Linked DNA regions of Daphnia pulex. The protein of the gene in region 2 purifies or fractionates together with the protein of the main gene of each other region. This does not show direct contact. Links are inferred from orthologs where the notes say so. Each region holds a gene or a part of one and is shown on either strand. Other genes may lie near its edges. The genes, in order: ubiquitin-protein ligase E3C-like and 26S proteasome complex subunit SEM1-like.

Region 1 (4,281 bases), on a different chromosome or scaffold from region 2:
ATCCGAAACGAGGACAGCCACACCGGGATTAGGGTAGAGCAAGTTATCGTGTGTTAAGCGGAAAAACCCGCGATTCGGATCGAAGCTCGTTTTCAGCAACTCTGACAGGAATTCACGAAATATACCACCACCATCGACTCCGGCTTCGTCCAATCCTACAGCATTCGTTAACTGGACTCTCATCTTAAATCGCAGATTTGGTTCTGTCAAGATAAATTTCAGTTAATCTTCTGTTATCCTTCAGAATTGTGAATGAAACTCACCATTTTCAAGGGAAAGTTTATCGAAAGCGTCCTCATAAATATAATTCCGGCGAATCATGACCTGAATGGATGGACCTCGAAGGAAATTGGCCTCTCCCTGTTGCTGCATTTTATCATTGAGGATCCATTGCTGCCACATTTTGACCCGATCGGTGAACGAGAACACAAACGGAATTTCACGCAGAATGGCTAAGGTTCGCACCTCTCTTGTTGACAACATAGAACTACCTTCCTCTTCTACTAAGAAATATTATTAAGTAAATTATACTCTTTTAGAGTGTCAACACGAAGGAAAAATTACCAATTTCATTCCTGGTTAATGGTCGGATAGCCCTAAACGGACGGTGAAGTCTGCCTTGCCTACGGAAAGACAGCTGGCCATTCCTCTCCAAAGGCAGGGCAATTCTTCCAGTTATCCAAACCCAACTAGGACAGAACGGTCGGCGCGTATCTCTTGTGTGCAACTGGCTGACGAGATTCACTGTAGACTACAATGAAGGGTATATCACTCATTTTGTGTCCATGTATTGAATAAATTAGCCTTACTTTGAACAGATGCATCCACAGTCGGGTATCTTCTTGTGTGTTACCGGTGGAAGTAGTACGGGTCTTGACAAAGTTGAAGGAGGTGCTTGGGCGAGTATCAGGATAAGCAAGTTCCACCAATCCAAGGCAAACGTCACGCAATATAGAAGCCAGTTCGACCACTTCAGTTAGGCTGAACGGCATAGCTCCAGAAACTGGATCTAATAAATGAGCAATAAATTGCTAAGTTAAAAATTATTTTCGAAAAAAACTATGTAGAAGACGAACCCGATTCGTTGTAAAATTCGGAGTCGTCCAACGTTACTAAAAGATGACTGAAAAGTGAACAGAAAACATCTAACACGGGTACGATTCGGTCAATTTCCGAATGCGCCAGATGAACACCTTTCGCCAAAAGTTGAACCAAGGACGTATCCGATGAACCAAACAGCGACACTTGCTTTTCTGATTTGATATGGCCTAACAACTGTTGCAGATAACAAGGTTTGAAAGCCAACGTATAAAGTAGCCTAGAAATTATGGCGCCGGTTAAAAATTACAGAGTCAAGACGAGTAAATTTATGTATTGCTATACCTGCACTTGTGGAGCGCCAATCGATCAGACAGCAACAGATTGTGACCAACGACACACAAATCTGGTAGAACGTCAGGGATTTGCAGGGCTGTTACCAATACATGTACCGTATTGATATTATTAAGTAACTCACAGCAACGAGTCATTATCTGTAGCAATCAAGGAAAATGACATTACTGATTTGCGAAATGAACCAGATATTTCAAGGTTATTACTTCTTGTTCGGCAGCTTTAAATATGTTAGTTTGTACATCTTCTTCGTCTGAGTCGTCGTCGTCTTCGTGAACTTCAGCAGTTTGCATGAATTGGAGACATCCGCTTAAACGACTTACTGTGGCAACGTAGAATGACAGCACTCTATCGTCCTTAAGTTCTATTTTAAGAAGAAATCGTTGGTACTTATAGAATCAAGAATGTTAACTGAATTCTTAAGTTACCAGGGTGTCCATCTGCCAGCACCAGAATGCTATGAAGAAGCCACGGATTTCTTGCACAAGCTTCATTGTTTTGAAGCAAACATAACAAAGGAATTTTGTTATTATTCTGCCTCAAAGACGGAAGAATGAAATTTGTGATTGGTTCTGAATACGCTGGTTCCAGAAATTCTCGGCTAAAGGATGCAACTACAGTGTTACTAAACGAAAATAAATTTAAATAAATTTAAAAGTGGGATAATAAATAGAAAAATTCTTTTTCAAACCGATTATTTATATTCATTGTCGCCGATGCAAATTCTAGGGGTTGAAAAATAAAGTCCAACAGGCAACCAGAAAGAGGGGTTGGTGCCTTTGTGGTGGGCTCAACTAAAGGTGGTATTTTAACATCAACAATCTGGCGTAACTGGGTAAAATAACCTAAAATAAAGATAATTTTTATTTGCAAAAAAAAGTTTGTGATAACAAGGAGAGAATGTTACCTTTTCGAGACAGGAAAAAAAATATTGAACCCAAAATCATATCAGCTGTTTGAACTCCTACACTTTTTCTCCAGCCCTCTGCATTGAGGAAGATTTCCAAGACCCTCCAGTGGGACCCTTTGCTCTCTCCAGTTGGTAAATGAATAGTATCAGATATGTAGCACAGAGTTAAGCTGAGGAATTGAGCAAGGCTAAATGTGAATGGTTTCTCAGTTTGGCATTGCTTCATTATGCTAGGTGAATTTTTTATCACCAGCTGTGATAGCCACACAAGTTTGTTAGCATCTTTCTCTTTATCAAAGAAGAACTTAAGTTTGTTGATCAAAGATGTCAAGAGTTGTAAGTTAATATTTTGGAAATTGGTGGCCTGTATTCTTTCAAACTCTTGTCGTTGAATGTTCTTTTGAAGGGATCTAGCTTGGCAACCTCGAAAAAAAGCTTGAATGATAACAGCACTTTGGTTTTGTCGACGTAAATCCTGCATTAGCAATAAAGTAGGTTAGTAATGAATGATCTTGAGTTGAAATGCAATATTTTTGTTTTACTTCTCTTTTTTGCCTTTCTAGTTGTGTTCTCTGGAGAAAAATGTCTCTTTGACTATGTTTTGATGCGCCTCCCAAACTTTGGACAGGTTTTCGCCTGTACTCTCCCTCAAAACTAAACATTTCAAAAACAACGAATCGATCCAGGTCTTGTGGACTATTTGCGAGTTGCCGTAATTGGATCCTTTATCCTTTTATTGTGATAAATTGGTGACTTTGGGAAACTGAACAGCAGACGTTTTTCACAAGAATGACTAAACTTACGATGTTGCATAATTAAAATAACAAGCTATAAACAGGTGAAATGGCAGAAAATCTATTCGCGGATCGCGAGATACAGGGAATATTTTCAAAAAGCAATTAAAAGTTTAAAACACAAACCGTAAAATATTCTCTTTTATTTTCAGACCATTTAATATCTTTATTATATTGAATTAGTGCAGCCAACTCTGGTGAAGCATTAGTGAACACAACCTAAACAATTCTGTCCATTCTAGCAGAAGATATTCCAAGCGATTTCTGTTTGAAAACAAGCATGCCGTGAGACAACTTTGTCTCATCTGTAAGAGCAGTAATTTCTTTTGAATGAAGGAAAACTTTTACGAGATAATTTGTGATTTCAAAGATGGGAGTTCATGGATTGTGGAATCTACTAGAACCGGTTGGCAAACCTGTTCCGCTAGAAACCCTTGAGAATAAAGTTCTCGCTGTTGGTAAGTTCTTCAATACCATGTTGAGATATGCTGTTTTCACTCTAAACAAATCATAAAATATCATTTTTTATTTTTATTTGTTTAGATGTGTCTATTTGGCTTCATCAAGCAACTAAAGGTTTCCGGGATGCCCAAGGAAATCCATTACCAAATGCCCACTTATTGGGTAATTCAATTCACAAGGCCATTATTTGATTAATTTAGATTAATTCATCTTCTCATCAGGCTTATGCCACCGTCTTTGCAAGCTATTGTTTTTCAAAATCAAACCAGTATTTGTTTTTGATGGAGGGGTTCCAGTACTGAAACGGCAAACCATGGTACACTTATTTTTACATGTTACTCAACAATTTTTGAAATCATAAAATACAATTTAGGCTGCACGTCATAACAGGAGAGATACAGCTGTTAAGAACAATGATATGGTTGCAGAGAAAATCCTTTCAAACTATATTAAGTCAGAAGTTATCAATAAACAACTTGGCAAAAATAAAGGGAAATCTGGAGCTCCTTTGTTAAAAAAGAAAAAATTGGAACCTGATTTATTTGAGCTTCCACCAATTCCAAATCAAAACACTGAGTAAATTTTTGTTAATTCTTTGACACAGAAATTCTTAACATTTTAATAACAATGTTGATGTTTAGGGACAATTCTTCAGAATCAGATTTTGACGACGATGCAAATGGAAATCTGGGCGCAATTTCTTTACATATGAAAGGTCACAAC
Region 2 (2,652 bases):
ATATACTTATGTTGGATTGATTCACCATAATATTATGTTAATTGTTTACCCTTTTTCTCTAGCTATCGTAAAAAAATTGAAACCATTTAGGCCTTGGCAGTTTGTTTACACTTTTCAAATGCCGTCTTGGTCTAGTGAGGAAAACGGATAAAACTTCAATGTCTGTCTGCTAGCTACTAATCGTTAACGAACTTACGAAACAATCAATCGAACAGATTTGACTTTTGACATAATGACCACGTTATAATCATATAATCTAGTAATTACTGAATTGAATAAAATCTGTGAATCTGTGGTAATGTTAATTTTAAAATTAATAAATGAAAATAATTTTAAAAAATAAATCAGAACCCTAGCGGTTCCGGTTAGGACTGCGATAGGGCCAATCTGCTTTGAATGTTGTGAAACTGTTGATAATTAAAAAATAAATTTGGGTTTAAGAATGGTTCATTGGTATGGAATATGATGCTGGGGAGTCCCATTTTAAAGGAAGATATTGACAGATGGAACAACTTTATCTGGGACAGGTTTCAATCAGAAACTTATTAGAAAAATTTAGGAAGGATTCCATTATAACTTAAAAGGAACTAATTGACTGGCAAATCCAATTCTAGTACATTTCTAAAAGAAATGCCAAGATAATTAAATACAAAAGAGACAGTATTGTATTCAATTTTTAAGTGAACAGTGGTACAATAAAATGGGTGTGTTATTTTAATGATCACTGTTCCATTTTAATGCCTTGTTTCTCCAGAGCAGCCCTATGAAATAAATAAAAAGATTTTATGGTTATGCCAAATTAAGTCATTAATAATTTCTACTAGTATTCAAACCTCAATTGCTGGCTGAAATCATCTTCAACGTTGTCATCATCCCAGTTGTCTTCCCAGACATTGACATCGTCAGCATCTTCTTCTTTGCCAGTCCAATCTACAATATTCAATGGGTACATGTAACTATGAACATATATTTTAAGTATAGGCAATTAAGTTTAAAGGCAATTTCAAGTTCGCTAGGTAGTAAGAAATGTTACCATCAGCCGGAAACTCTTCGAATTCATCGTCTTCCTCGAGCAGACCTAAATCTACTTTTGGCTTTTCGGTGGTGGAGTCAGTTTTTTCAATCTTCACATCTGCCATGACTGAACTATTATTAAGAGATAGATTTGATTTTTAACAACTAACAGTGATTCACTGAAGTTCTGCTTCTAACTTGACGGTTCTGAGTCTGACTTCAAGCTGACTGATCGTAACTTCTGACTTGGCGTTTTCAAAAAGGCGTCTGCTGGGTTTGTTACATAATATTAACCACAGATGGCGGTGAACATCAGAAAAACCAGTCGAACGTTGCCGCGAATTTTAAAGTAAGGAAGGAATATAAATATAAAATTTAGAAACTCTTATCTTCATTTGCGCAAATTCAATTTGAATTGTCATAAGAAGAACTTTAAATGGATAAGCTTATTTGTAACGTAGGTCACACATGCATATCGATGAGGATAAACGATTCTATACAGATTCTTTTGCTTTATTATAATGCCTAGTTGTGCACCATTTGATTGTTTACACACGATTAATTTTTTGTTTGGAACTAAAGGAAACCAACATTTATTTTTAGATATGACGTAAAATTTCTGTGAACCTGTTTCAAAAGCGACTAAGAAATGGCCTTGGAAAGGGACATTGAGGTGTTATCTCTGATTTTATAGCAGGTTCCTCTGCATCTGCATTTCATTGTATTGAGCAGGATCGACCTCCAAGTTCACGTACGTAACTAATTGAGACGACCCCTCTGGACTGACGACTCTAGAATTCCAGCCGTTATTACATAAAAGTAGAAGGGCATATATGGGATACCGATGTAAGGAAGGGTTGGTTATCTAACGCCATATAAGTCTGAATAAAACATTTTCTGATGTAATGCAGTTGACAACAGGAATAGCTGCTTAATGTAAGACCAATAACCTACATTTCGGCCTGTTAAAAGTTGGTTAGGCTGCTGTTGCTAACCGTCGACTTTTAACAATTGAGCTTCTTTTTTTTTCATTTTGGTTCGGCCCAAGCAACTGGATTGACCACACCGAATTTACATTTCTATCAAACTGTTTTATGTTATTCCCGAGGTAAGAGAAAAAAGTACGCAATTCTATATTAGAAAAATGGAAATCCAACGACATTAGTCCGCCATTTATGAATTTTCATTTGAACATCGGATGATAGGCCTTCGTCTTATAATCGACGGTTTAATACTAATCGACTGCTTGTAATCCCTTGTATGTACACTGATATGAACTTTGGAATAATAATTTTAAATTATTTATAAGCTGTTGTCTTTCTCATGAATTTATAGACACAGCTCTACGTGGAATTCAAAACTTTTCGATTGAAAAACCTTTCACGGTTTCCTCCGATTCGCCCGTTCCAGTTCCTTCTCAACTGTGTGTTTGCTGTTTGACATCATTTGTCATTGAAGTTGTTTTTTAAGTCCCCTTAACAAGGTCCTCTTTTCTTTATGGAACCGCGCTCTTACAAAAGCAAACTAATTGCAAACTCGCTACTTCCAACATTCACCGTTGTTTTCGTAGAAAACTGACAATTAAAATTCGGAATAATTTCGCTTTATAAGCCACCGGTTTCACTTTGAAGACGCGTT

The links.
Region 1: the proteins of 26S proteasome complex subunit SEM1-like (region 2) and ubiquitin-protein ligase E3C-like purify together in Homo sapiens (affinity purification with western blotting; 3 studies listed by BioGRID and IntAct, with this or other methods). This does not show direct contact. The link is inferred for Daphnia pulex from reciprocal best matches to the Homo sapiens genes SEM1 and UBE3C.

The regions. Positions count from the first base shown.
Region 1 is NC_060018.1:1,404,564-1,408,844, reverse strand, and holds the start of ubiquitin-protein ligase E3C-like, read right to left. Parts: upstream 3,103-4,281; 5' UTR 2,965-3,102; coding exon 2,845-2,964; intron 2,778-2,844; coding exon 2,300-2,777; intron 2,238-2,299; coding exon 2,084-2,237; intron 2,018-2,083; coding exon 1,821-2,017; intron 1,757-1,820; coding exon 1,599-1,756; intron 1,533-1,598; coding exon 1,384-1,532; intron 1,319-1,383; coding exon 1,077-1,318; intron 1,010-1,076; coding exon 810-1,009; intron 752-809; coding exon 565-751; intron 501-564; coding exon 264-500; intron 204-263; coding exon 1-203. Other genes in the region: DNA excision repair protein ERCC-5-like, read left to right, coding at 3,467-3,554, 3,640-3,720, 3,780-3,874, 3,932-4,134, 4,200-4,281. UniProt on the Homo sapiens protein: E3 ubiquitin-protein ligase that specifically catalyzes 'Lys-29'- and 'Lys-48'-linked polyubiquitin chains.
Region 2 is NC_060028.1:1,556,315-1,558,966, forward strand, and holds 26S proteasome complex subunit SEM1-like, read right to left. Parts: upstream 1,253-2,652; 5' UTR 1,140-1,252; coding exon 1,034-1,139; intron 931-1,033; coding exon 834-930; intron 762-833; coding exon 722-761; 3' UTR 643-721; downstream 1-642. UniProt on the Homo sapiens protein: Component of the 26S proteasome, a multiprotein complex involved in the ATP-dependent degradation of ubiquitinated proteins.